Arabidopsis thaliana: one gene and its partner. Each later gene encodes a partner of the first gene's protein in a complex. Each region holds a gene or a part of one and is shown on either strand. Other genes may lie near its edges. A codon is read from its position in the direction of its gene.

The links.
Region 2: the proteins of TMM (region 1) and EPF2 are in contact, whole or in part, in a crystal structure (PDB 5XKJ), measured with the Arabidopsis thaliana proteins. Residues at the interface, in NP_178125.1 of Arabidopsis thaliana: Trp73 (codon at 3,820), Ile77 (codon at 3,832), Pro78 (codon at 3,835), Arg82 (codon at 3,847), Gly83 (codon at 3,850), Arg84 (codon at 3,853), Trp85 (codon at 3,856), His86 (codon at 3,859), Gly87 (codon at 3,862), Ile88 (codon at 3,865), Glu89 (codon at 3,868), Met91 (codon at 3,874), Val101 (codon at 3,904), Asp110 (codon at 3,931), Asp111 (codon at 3,934), Thr112 (codon at 3,937), Ala113 (codon at 3,940), Lys135 (codon at 4,006); in NP_564442.1 of Arabidopsis thaliana: Asp75 (codon at 3,622), Tyr78 (codon at 3,631), Ala79 (codon at 3,634), Gly81 (codon at 3,640), Ile104 (codon at 3,709), Arg106 (codon at 3,715), Arg112 (codon at 3,733), Tyr113 (codon at 3,736), Tyr114 (codon at 3,739), His115 (codon at 3,742), Val116 (codon at 3,745), Pro117 (codon at 3,748), Ser118 (codon at 3,751), Arg119 (codon at 3,754).

Annotation. Positions count from the first base shown.
Region 1 is NC_003070.9:30,126,201-30,133,166, reverse strand, and holds TMM (Leucine-rich repeat (LRR) family protein), read left to right. Parts: upstream 1-3,517; 5' UTR 3,518-3,603; coding exon 3,604-5,094; 3' UTR 5,095-5,348; downstream 5,349-6,966. Other genes in the region: CBSX4 (Cystathionine beta-synthase (CBS) family protein), read right to left, coding at 1,312-1,653, 1,734-1,838, 1,915-2,158, 2,472-2,740, 2,836-2,949; SUS2 (Pre-mRNA-processing-splicing factor), read right to left, coding at 5,593-5,784, 5,872-6,114, 6,184-6,462, 6,542-6,739, 6,855-6,966. UniProt on the Arabidopsis thaliana protein: Promotes cell fate progression in stomatal development. In leaves, needed to correctly orient spacing divisions, to limit the number of asymmetric divisions in neighbor cells, and to promote the asymmetric (amplifying) divisions of meristemoids.
Region 2 is NC_003070.9:12,469,870-12,476,241, forward strand, and holds EPF2 (Putative membrane lipoprotein), read left to right. Parts: upstream 1-2,998; 5' UTR 2,999-3,120; coding exon 3,121-3,214; intron 3,215-3,302; coding exon 3,303-3,367; intron 3,368-3,558; coding exon 3,559-3,762; 3' UTR 3,763-4,105; downstream 4,106-6,372. UniProt on the Arabidopsis thaliana protein: Controls stomatal patterning. Regulates the number of cells that enter, and remain in, the stomatal lineage by inhibiting protodermal cells from adopting the meristemoid mother cell (MMC) fate in a non-cell-autonomous manner.

The DNA of each region.
Region 1 (6,966 bases):
CTCTTGATTTAACACAAGAATTGTTTTTTTTTTTTTTTTTTTTAAATGTGAGCATGCATTAGTTTCTGAGACTGTAAAAGAAAAGCCCACACTTTGTTGCTCCCTCGTATGACGCGCGACTTTCCCACTAACTTTGCAGTGAGTGTTCGCTATTCTCTATGCTTCAAATTCAATCCATCCTTTCTCCATTTCTATCTCAAAAGGCCTTTCTCTTTCTCGATCTAATCAATTAATCTTCTTCTTTTTCTTTCTTATAAGGAAAGCTATACACAAGAAGAATACAAGAAACACAAGCACAACACAGAAACATGCGTAAATTGTTTCACCGAATAAAGTAAAAAATTATCAATAGTTAAACACAAAAGATTACAAGTCCTCTTAACTATTTTTAACAGAAAATGTATGTACCAACACCTCTGGTTACGTGATTTTCTCATAACTTTGGTGATTGGTATATTGGTATCACATCGCTATATATGAACCATGACAGTACATAAATAAATAATCATATGGCACGTATAAGAAGCCTCTAATAATCTTCCTTAATTAGTCTCCTGGAACCAGAAAGTATACATAATTATAAAAAGCAGCGGTAACTAACGAAGATTTATAATATTTGAACACAAAAAAGCGTGCTCATATGTAATTATTGTGAGCTAGTATAGAATGATATATGAAAATAGCTAAATATTATTGTAAATGCGGATTAAAAATGACTGAAAAGAAGAAAGAGCGTGCTTGGAAACGGAACAAACAACTAGCTAGTATTAAACATATACTTTTTCATGTTATCAGAGTAAGTAGTAAAGTGGAGCGCATAATGAGTGGATGCTTTTTTAAGGTTATGTTACCAATTAAAACTAGTGATTAAATTATGATTATGGAATTATTATATACGAAAACTGAAATTGTCTCATTCGTATGTCATGCTTCTTTGCGCCCCGTGCTCGAGTACCCTATTCATTAATCACTACCCTCTCAGTATTTCATAATTTCTATGATTGCTTTGTTTTCTTTTATTATCCATGTACAATATTTTTTCCTTAATGGGATTATTCCATGTGCAATTTTGTTAACATGTTTATTTGTGTTTATAAGATATTCTTTTGGTAGAAATTCGTCATTCCTTTGCTTTGACATTTTTTCTATTTATATCATTTCCCTATATTTTTCTTATGTGTTACGTAAATGTGATGTTAACATTCGATATGATGAGTCATTGAGATGAAAAACGCAAAATTGTGTAAATTTTCTCTAAGAAACAAATAAAAGAAAATTTGAGTAATTGGAGAGAAGACTGAAAGTTGCGAGTTAAAACAGATCCGGAGCTCCGGAAAGCAAAGCGGATCGGACCACAGCGATGATGTCAGTAAGAGAAACAAGGCCTTGTAGCCCACCGTTCTGGTCCACGACCCAAACTCTGTGTACACGTTTCGTGGTGACCATATGGATCACCTGGGCCAAGGTTGATGTCACGTGACACGTCACGAGCTCCCTCCCTGGTGTTGAGGTAGCAGCGGTGAACAAGAGAGTTCTTGGGATTTTCTCGACGAACTCTAGTGCATTTAGCGGCAACCACGAACGCAATGTGGCTAAATGACATCCCTTCAGATCACTAGCCGAGAATGTCCCCACCACTCTCCGATTTTTCCCCTGCACCAGCAAACACCAAATTAATCAACATTTGATCTTAATAGATACTGATAGATACATGTATAAGTAAAGACACCTACGTCGACGAGCTGTTTATGATCCTCTCCCTCACCAGAGGCTTCGACGATAGGAACCGCATTGAGCATTGCTATACTCATGCATTGTATTGCATCTTTCACTCTAGCCTGGTATTAAACATTACAAGCGTTTAACTTAGGATTTAATGAATAAAGATGAAAATTCTTGACTTGTGAAATTTACCTGGCTAGTGAGGGCTAAAACAGTGTTGTGAATAGCGGAGAGATCAGTGACGGTGTGGGAGAGGATACCATGCAATTGAGAGGATTGGTCGAAGAAGAAAGAGATGAGATCCATCTGACTCAGCATTGCGTAAGCAGAAGCTGACTCTACCAACTCAGGTCCTGTTATATTTTCTGTATTACTGTCCAATGGAACCAATACCCTGTGGATTCCTTTACTCAACATCTCCATACAATCCATGATGCTGCTTTCATCAATGACCATCTTTGATTAGTACTCTATCCGTTCATATATAATGTTAAGATTTTTGACAAGAGAAAAATGTTTTGCATTTTTCTATGAAAAATTTGCATTATAATTTCTAATTTATCATTTAGTTTGAATTATAAAAAATATGAAACTATAAACAATTAATGACTGAAATATGGGTATATATATTAGGTGTTGCAAAAGAATTCTTACTATGTGAGAAAAGTGTACAACATCTAACATTATAAAAGGGAAGGATTAATTATACTGAAAGCAATTTAATTTTACAAATCTTCTATACTATTAACCTGGTATTAGGATTGAGAGACCAGAGGCTAAGACCCTCAGGGCAATGACCAATGATAGAAGAGACAGGGGCAGCCATTTTCTTATCAAGCCCACTCTCGCCGTCATCGCCGGCGATGTGAGCCACAACGTCGAGCATGGTCACCATTCCTATGTACTGTTTTCTTGCACTTCCGCTCTGTTTGTCCAACTCTACTATCATTGATCCCCCGGCTCCCAGCCATTGGCCTGGTTTGGCAGCCACCGGTACAGCTCTAACTCGGTTTGCCACCGGTTTGATACCAAGAATAGTCTTGTTAGTAATTCTTGATACTTAAAACGGTTGACTCCAACCAAAAAAATAACAATTATTTAGCCGTGGTTTACCATAGTGTTCAAGGCGTCCCCTAGAGTGGCATTATCAGGAACTTCGACCAGCCGCCGCTTGTCGATCATCAGATCTTTGACCTTGAACTGCATCAGACGGCTGTACGACTGCATGAAGATTTGTATTTGGGTGATAGTCAAAGTCTCAAAGAAAATGGGACGAGGCTTATGAACTTCTAATCTTTGTTTTGATGCTTTCGTAGTTACTTCATTATTCATATATGTCATGTTACTAGTAAGATGACACGTATTACATGTGTTGCTCCATGGGCATGTGCTTTTCGTATGCACAGACCACGCGTCCGTTTATTCAGATTCTCGTGTTACAACAAAATAATGATTTTAAGGTTCAGAATCAAACATATGAAACTTTTTATCAATTGCTATCTACGGTTTGTTACAAAAACAAATACAGTGCCCAGTTCAAAATACAAATTGAATAATAGCCCAACATATCGTAAATGGGAAAATGGGCTCAGCCCAAATAAAAAAAAAGTAAACGATAAGGAGACGTCGGGTCCCGTTCACGAAGCGGTCGGATCTAGGGCCCAACACAAGACGAATGAAGGGAATATCTCGTGAAAGCAATAAATGCAGAAATCGAGAATCATGAATTTTATTTATTTCGCTCCTCGAGTTATCCCGTGAAAGTCATAAAGACATTGCGAACGTTTTTATGGACCCACCAATTGTTTCTTCAGAATTATACATATACACACTGACAATTTCGAACCTAAACCGCATTCACACAACAACAACAACTAAGAAATGGCACGATATGAATTCTTCCGCCAAATATTCATTGTCTTGTCTATAGTTTCTCCGTTGGTCAGATCTTTCACTGTGATCACCTCCGACTCGACGGCCCCATCTGCTCTGATCGACGGCCCACAAACTGGATTCACGATGACCAATGACGGCGCTCGCACGGAGCCTGACGAGCAAGACGCCGTCTACGACATTATGCGTGCGACCGGCAACGACTGGGCTGCCGCGATTCCAGACGTTTGCCGAGGGAGATGGCACGGGATCGAGTGTATGCCGGACCAGGATAACGTCTACCACGTGGTCTCTCTGTCGTTCGGAGCGCTCTCAGACGACACGGCGTTTCCGACTTGTGATCCACAACGCTCTTACGTCTCTGAGTCCCTCACGAGGCTCAAACACCTCAAAGCCTTGTTCTTCTACCGATGTTTAGGCCGCGCCCCACAGCGCATACCGGCGTTTCTGGGACGCCTCGGCTCGAGTCTGCAAACGCTGGTTCTGAGGGAGAATGGTTTTTTGGGACCTATCCCTGACGAATTGGGCAATCTCACCAATTTGAAAGTTCTTGATTTGCATAAAAATCACCTCAACGGCTCCATTCCCTTGTCGTTCAACCGGTTCTCCGGTTTAAGATCGCTTGATTTGAGTGGTAACCGGTTGACTGGTTCCATTCCCGGTTTTGTTCTTCCGGCGCTGAGCGTTCTGGATTTGAACCAGAATCTTTTAACCGGACCGGTTCCACCCACACTCACAAGCTGTGGATCGTTGATCAAAATCGATCTTAGCCGAAACAGAGTCACTGGTCCTATCCCAGAATCGATTAACCGGCTCAACCAATTAGTGCTTTTGGATTTGAGCTATAACCGGTTATCAGGTCCATTCCCGTCTTCTCTCCAAGGCCTAAACTCTCTTCAAGCTTTAATGCTCAAAGGCAACACAAAATTCTCAACAACGATTCCTGAAAACGCGTTCAAAGGGCTCAAGAACTTGATGATTCTTGTTCTCTCGAATACGAACATCCAGGGCTCGATACCGAAATCATTGACTCGGTTAAACAGTCTTCGGGTCCTTCACCTAGAGGGCAATAATCTGACCGGAGAGATTCCTTTGGAGTTCCGGGACGTGAAGCATCTAAGCGAGCTGAGGCTCAACGATAACAGTCTGACAGGACCAGTACCGTTCGAGAGAGACACAGTGTGGAGGATGAGGAGAAAGCTGAGGCTGTATAACAATGCTGGTTTGTGTGTTAACCGGGACAGTGACTTGGATGATGCATTCGGTTCAAAATCTGGTTCAACTGTAAGATTGTGTGATGCAGAAACGTCGAGACCAGCTCCTTCCGGTACGGTCCAGCACCTATCTAGAGAAGAAGACGGTGCTTTGCCGGACGGAGCTACGGACGTGTCAAGCACTTCCAAGTCTTTGGGGTTCTCCTATCTTTCTGCATTCTTTCTTGTATTCCCTAATTTCATTTTTATGCTAATATCTAGTTAGAGGAGGGATGATAAAACTGCTGTAAATACTTCCCGAGTTTAATAATGTTAGTTAGATGCCTTTTCTGCATTAGTTGGATTGAATATCGCCACCATTTATGGCTACAAAAAAAACTTGTAAGCTCGAACGTGTTCCTTCTGTCTATATACTCTGTTCTTTGATCTCTGTTTTATCTTTCCGGAGATAAGAGACTTGTATTGCTTGTTCTTCCATGTTTTGTACATTTGGCGTTTATTCGAAATGGGAAAAACCTCTTAAAATAGTTTAAATTTGTCGTTTTATTTTCTCTCATCGAAGACGTTAGTTACCAAAATTCCGTTATACACGTACGTATGATTACATCACATTCAAGATTTTGATTATAGTGGCAAACCATCTTTTTAAGATTTAGGGACCTTACTATCTATCTCAGTAAAGCACAAGACAGTACAACATCTTACAAGTCTATACTGCAAAATAAAGCTAAATCACACACACGGTAAGAAAATTGAGTATATCTCAAGTAAATGTGTCCTCGCGATCTCCCTCTGTAATGTCAGCCTCCTCCATGTTGCTGAACTCCAGGAAATGAGTGGGTCGATGCTCCTCGTGATAGAACTCCTTTGGGGATCCGAGTTTGACACTGTATTTCATGCTCAACGTGTGCTTCACTCCAGTGAAGCTATAGTTCCACGGTCCACTCTCAGGAACCTATCATAACATCAGTTACAAAAATCAGATTTCAATGGTTTATATCATCCAAGGACAAAAGCACAATTGCAAACTCTGTTGTCTTACCATGTAAAACCCGAGGAACCGGTCACTCAGCAGCATCTGAACCTTTTCATAATGGGTGGGAAGGTAACCGTGAGGATTGCTGCCATTGTCCTTGTTAAGCCGCCCCCATTCATATCCGGTTTGGGTCAACTTATATGACGTCAAAGAGCAGGAGCCCGGAGTGAAACTGCAGGTCAGGATGATGCATTTTTCTCCATCCCATTGCTTGTTGTTCTCCAGAATACGGGAATGAGAGGTTACATCCTATCAAAGAAAAGATCAGTTAGCAATGAGGTTAACAGAAGGTAAAGATAAATATATATATATATATACCTGTGGTGATAGCTGAGGCAGCTCGTTAGGCTGTGTGTGCAACCATCCCAAGGGCTCAAGATCATTTAGGAAATCATGCTCAGGAAGAGATGACGGCAGGTGAACTAGCTGATGATTTCCCCACTGTGGCACCATCACAACACAACGGATCTCCTTCACCTGGGGATTATCCGGGGGACTAATACCATATAAATACCCAGCAATTTGAGTACGAAGATCCGCAACGCATATGAACTTCTTCAAAATGTTCTTTGGCATGATGTAGGTGTATCCGGTTTCCTGTGACAACAACAGACAGTGTTTAAGGTCGACACCTGAAAGGCTTTTACTTAATTGACAAAGTGAATTGGATTCTAACCTTTATGTCATCTGAGTTCACATATATGTGATTGACTCTAAGGTAAAGATTAGTGGCTGATATTGCACGTACACGCCAATCTGTCTTGGAACCGAATGCAGATTGCTCGTAAGGGCTTGTGGTGGTGACAATGAGCTCATCACCATGAACATTTGTAGTTCTTGTTGTGACTGCAGTAAGCTGGCTGGCTTCCTTTGCCTGCAAATAGGATATAGATTTACAGTGAACAAAGAATAATAGTCACAGTCCACTCTCACAATGTTTGTGTTTGTTAGAAAACCTGATAGAACATAGAAGTAACAGTTACGAGTACCTGTTTCTCAATCTCAGCTATCTGTTGCCTCTGTTGAGAGGGTGGAGTAATCTCAGCTCCAAGAATAATATCTCGGATCTCTGATTGTGTCAGAGCTGAGGTATTCACATTG
Region 2 (6,372 bases), about 18 Mb from region 1:
TATTACTACAAACTTTTATCCTTTTACTCTCGTATTATGAAAGATTTATCACATAATATTACCGACAAGAAAGAACATTACTCCTTTTTCTATTACATTTGATTGCCATTACAAAAACAAAAATCAAGAACAAATTAATTTCTCTTTACCTATTAATTAAACATGTGGGTCATATTATGAAAGACTTAATAAAATACATTACTATACAACATTAAATAATCTATCTAAAACAAATATTTGACAAGATAAGATATATATTTGTATTTTTTTCTACTTCAATAGCATCACTTATTTTAAATATAAGCTTATATAATTTGAATCTTAAAAAAAAATCAACTTGTGTTGTAACATAGGTCATAATCTATTACTGATTTAGTAGAATATCAACACAATTACAACCCACCAGCAAGTAGAATATTTTTCATAGAATCATAGGGACATATTACAATACATTAAATAGATAACATAAGCATGTTTTGAACTAAGAAACATCCTAACTATCACAGGTTTGGTCTAGAGAACAAGTGAAGTAAGCCAAAGATTAGATTAAGAGTTGTCCACCAATTGAAGAATGGGAAAGAGCTGAGTTAATTCATGAGTTCTTGACCCATTTGTAGAGATGACGAATTTGATCTCTAGATCATCTTATCCAACATCTAATTTATACTTCATGCAAGTATGGCATATTGAAATGTGGTTAAAAGCCATGAAGAATCTGATGATGAAGTTCTGTATCATGGTTGTTGGTATGCAAGAGAAGTTTGACAAATATTGGAGTGAATACAGTGATATCATTGTCATTGCAGCAGTGTTTGATCCAAGATTGAAGTTCTCTATGTTACAATATTGCTTCGATACACTTGATGCTTCCATTAGTAAATTTAAGATTGAACATGTGCGTAAGAAGCTGAAGAAGCTTTTTGAAGTTTATAAAGAATCCAAAGGAAATTGCAATTAGAACTTCAAAAACCATAGTTTGACAAAACATTCTTCTAGGATATGGTGTAAGTTTCCATCTTTAACCCTCTATTAAAAACTTTCTATGTTTTGATGTAGTGGTTTGAATCGTTTATGGTTTATGTGTATTGATGGTTCTCTTAACTTTCACAATGGAAGAGTTTTATGCTTTCATTTCTCAAACGGCTGGGGCTAATGGATAGTCAGCATTAGACAAATATTTGAATGAGCTGGTTTTGGACATGATAGCATTTAAGAGCATGGATATTTTGCATATTGGAGAAATAATGCAAATCGGTTCAAGGAGTTGTCTAAAATTGTAGCTTCAAAAGTCTTCATTCAGCATAGGAAGTCGGGTCTTAAACAAGTATCAGAGTTGTCTCCTTCCCTACTAACGTTTAAGCTTTGATATGCGCGAGGAATTGGCTATTTGACATATTTTCTTTTGTCATATTTCAATCAATTTGAATTTAAATGTAAATATGTTTTTTTGTTGTACTTAGATGATCATATTGAGTTATTTAATGAAGACAAAGATGGCAAGGGAGAAATATAAGAAGTTTAAATTTGCATTTAATTGCTTTTAGATTTGATACTTTGTTGAATTGTGTTCAAATTTGTTTTTAGATATATTTCAAAGTATAAGACTTTTGACTTATGTATTGATTAAAATATGAACCAAAAACTATTATGTTCAAATTTGGTTCTGATATGCCCATTGAACATCCCATTTGAACATAAACTTTAATGACATGAACGTTAATAGACATGAGTTTTAGTGGACATGAACTCCATTTATCTAATATCAAAATAGACATTATTAAAAATTGGAATGTGTTAATGGATATGGATAGCCTGCTATAGACTACCATTTTTGTTGGACATATCTTAAATTATCAACGAAGTACTCAAAAAATAAGAAAAAAATTCTGAAATAGTCTTGACCAACATTTCTTTCTTCTTAGACCTTCGAAACACATAAAAATGTTTTCTAGACCAAAACACATATTAATCATCATATTTGTTGGAGCTCAGATTTTATATAAATATCAACCAAGAAGAAAGGACTAGTTTAACCGCTAGGAATCTTTTTGTGACCAGAAAACATTTCTGCCTACGCTAGGAATCATCTATCAATAAAACATGGAATTTCTTCGTTACAAAAAAGAACTGAAAAATATGCTAAGCTCATTATTTGGTGCTTTGGGAAAAGGTCATTAAAACCAAGGGCAAGGTTCACGTTTGTGTGACAGGTTATTTTCAAGATGTCTGAACACTTTTTGGCTGCTTCTGTAAGTTCTCTGCTCTCTCTCCCATTGTGAACCTTATGACTACAATTATTAACTATTCCCTTATAGTAACTCCTTTTTTGGTCCCACGCCATATATTATATACCATATCTTTACGTATAAAACTTCTCTCTATATTCATGATACCACTAACACTTACATATTTAATGCTTCGACTTTTGTAATTATACATTCGTTCATCCTTGTGTACAATATGATCGATGGGCTTCTTGGTCTTTTAGCGGTAGAACTTTGTGTATATTAATATATATATATATGATTTACTGGTCATATTTTTTTATATAAACTATGATGTATTGGTCATAAATCGATGCTCAACTAATTTTTTTTTTAGTTTTATGTTGAACTATGATTTGTAGTGAAATATAGTCTTCTAGTTAAACATTTTCATCCATGGTTTATAATATGATTGATGAGATCTTCATATTATATATCCACTGACTGAACATGAAAACATGCACACAAGTCACAACCATATCTCAGGCTTTATTGCTACGTACATGTGAACAGTTTCTCATATTCAAAAATATTCATAGCCCGCGAACATGTTCATTGGTAACTAAAAGAATAAATCATAATGATTTTTTCTCAGAAAATCGACGAGAATCATGTGACCCTTCAACATGTGTGCCTCTTTTCATCATTTATTATCATAAATCATAAACACATAACCAATTCTTTCTCACCTTTTCCTCAACTATATATACACATATCTCACTTATCCCACCTTTAATACTTCACACACAACACATAACACACGTAGTACTTGCTTCCTATCATTTCTAGAAACTTCTCTTTAAAACCTCTGCCTCAACCAGAAAGTTTCTTCTTGTTAAAAAAAAAGATTATAAACATGACGAAGTTTGTACGCAAGTATATGTTTTGCCTCGTCCTAGTCTTCGCCGCGTGTTCTTTGGTCGTTAACTCCATTCGCACGCCGCCACTAAGTCCGTCACATCAATATCTTTTGGTTATAGTTTATATTTTACTTGGTAATGATTTTCATATATTAACATTTTATACTTTTTAATGTAGAAAACACGGTCAATGGCGGAGAAAAGAAAAACGCCGATATAGAACAAGCTCAAACGCACCACAAGGTAGGTCCTGTCTCCCACGGTGCACTTCTCTCATTTTAATTTATGTGCAAAAATACCATATTTTAATATATAAAAATATTTTTTTAATAATAACAACTGCATTTGATTTTTTCTTTTAATTAATTTTTAATTTTTTCTTTATAAAAGAAGTCATTGTCAATTAATTGTTTTCTTGTTGTAATGTGGTGAAGAAGGAAATAAGCAAAAACGGAGGGGTAGAAATGGAAATGTACCCAACAGGATCAAGCTTACCGGATTGTTCATACGCGTGTGGCGCATGTTCGCCGTGTAAACGTGTGATGATTAGTTTCGAATGCTCAGTCGCCGAATCATGTAGCGTCATCTACAGATGCACGTGCAGAGGGAGATACTATCACGTGCCATCTAGAGCTTGAATTGAATCTCCGCCGTTTATTTTTTTTTGACGTCTGTGATTAAAATATCAGTTTTGGCTGGCGGCGAAACTTTTTTTCTATTGTACAATTTGTTGGGATATTAAATTAAATGCTATTGGCCCACTTTGAAGTCTTATAATTAATATTGGGCTTTATTAGGCCTTTTCAAAGAGAGTTTGTATGACACGACCGAATCAGATTCTTGAACCGGTACATCACAAAGTCAAATGCTTCGGTTGGCCAATTATTTATTGTTTCCTTTTAAAAGCCATCTCCATCATACCGGTAACCGGTTAAACCAAAAAAATCATTTATGTAACAATGTGTAAAGTATAAACTTTTTCTTACTATGGATCGTTTTGAAATTTACATCTTCTTACATTAATCTGATTTGCATTAGTTAAAGAAATCATTTTCTTTTGTTCAAAAACTTAGACGTTTTTTTTTTTGGTTTAATTTAAAAAAAAACTTAGAAGTTAGAATAAAGTTTTGTTCTTCATTTTTTTGGTACACGAATAAAGATTTTTTTAGTTGTTTTTTTTTGGTAAAACTTTTTTTTTTGTTTTGTTTTTTATTAGTTGTTTATTTTCTCGTAATTTCTAATTTATGTTATGAGCATACAATATTCTATAGATTTTAAGTGTTTTTAGGGGAAAAAAACATTTGTAATAAATTTTACTTTTGTGTTTAAACTTTAAGCTATTTCCGTCTCGCTTTTTAAAGTGAAGACTAGTCTATGTTATTTGACTATGAAAAATGAAATTAAAAATGATTTTAAATCAGAAAATAAAACAATGACTTTGGCAAATAAAAATTTATTTATATTAATTTTGTCTTCCCATTTTGAAAAAGAAAGCTTGAAAATATCCCAAGAAGACATGGTCAATAGTCGAAGGAAGAAAGATAATGGGATGCAACTTGCAGGATTGTTAAATGACATATGACTGTTGAAGTAGCTCAAGATATATGGGCTACAAAGTCAACATGAAACATCTTAATCTGGACTGTTGAAATAGTGTTATCCTACGCAAACGTTAGATTTGTTTTTAATCAACTTTGAAAGATATGTTTTGTTTCTCTTTTTGGCATCAAAATTATATGAAAATTGAGATAATTAACCTGCCTAAAATTGGAAGGCAGGAAACGAAATCGAGCCTAACACTTCGCAACTAATTATCGAGTTGAACAATCAAATCAATTAATAATTGGATGTCAATTAATAATTACAATCAAATCAATTATTTCTCGTCGTCTTAATAATACACGTGTAATATACAGAGATTAATTATTCATTAAAAATGTATGCACCATTATTCTCTAGAGAATCATTCGAGGCATATTCATTTTTCACCGACCAATAAATGCGAGGCTTTGTAGATAACAGGTAACTTACTAAAAATGGTAAAATGATTCAACAGATTCAAGAATCCAGCAATGTTGCATAGCTTGAATTAGTGCTTGACATTCACTCTCCAATGCAGACTATACTTTCAATCCTTAAGCTTATCACTCTCCATTTTGCATATGATCTCTCTAAGTTGACATAGGATGAATCATGCATCATAGTTGCATTTCTCCTAATCTTGTCTAGAGTTGGTGTGGCGATCCCCTTTGTGGAACGGCATCACTTACTTAAATGGTAGACATTCAATTAAAATAGTCAAAAATAAATTTTGTTTTAAAAAAAAGTTTTGTACAAAAAAAAACCTTTCAAAGTAGCCAATTTTTGCAAATTTACCCCTGATCCCCAAAAAAATGCATGTTTAAAAATTCTATAAATTCAAAATAATATGCAATATAATGTTTTTTCTAATATTGTCAAGTTCTTAATATATCAAATCAAAGATCTTGAGACGACTAGTTCAACTCTATTTTTAGAATTTTTAAAATCAAATATATGTGATCGTGAAAACATTTACAATATACGTATAAGGTTTATTAAGTATTATTTTGGAATTTATAGGATTATTCTACCTTTTTTGAAGGTAGAAGATTAAATTGCAAAAACTAGCGACTTTAAAGGTTTTTGTTTTGCACAACCGTCAAAAAATAGTGACTTTCTAGTTTTTAGAGATCTCATTCTACTTATAAAAGAAATAAAAAAATACTAGTGCAATCTCTTAGACTAAAAAAATAGCGGAATCCAAATATTTGATGTAGTAACAAGATATGCTATGTTAGTCCTAATATATAATTTTTTTACAAAAGGTTCTCTTAGAAAAGGATAATTAATATTTTCATTCAAATTTCTACAAATTCAAAGACAAACTTATTTTTGCAGAAAATTCAATAAGTTTTTAAAAAATGCAGAAAATGTAAAGAAAAACTTCAAATTTTTGTTCTAATTTACTGTCCTCATTCCAATGCTAGATTATGAGAATGTATTTTAAAAAGTATTAAAGAAAATATGTAATAGTGTTTTTCTTTTTTTGGTCATGTGTAGTTGTTTTCTACCACAAGAACATACTGATTGAAATATATAATAATGATCGAGAAAAGACAAGTGTTTTGTCAATAAGAGTGACAAGAATTATATAATTGGCGTGATGGGTAATATGCCTCCATTTTTTCAGTTGAAACATGAATTTCCAGCATTTTCGGATTGTACCA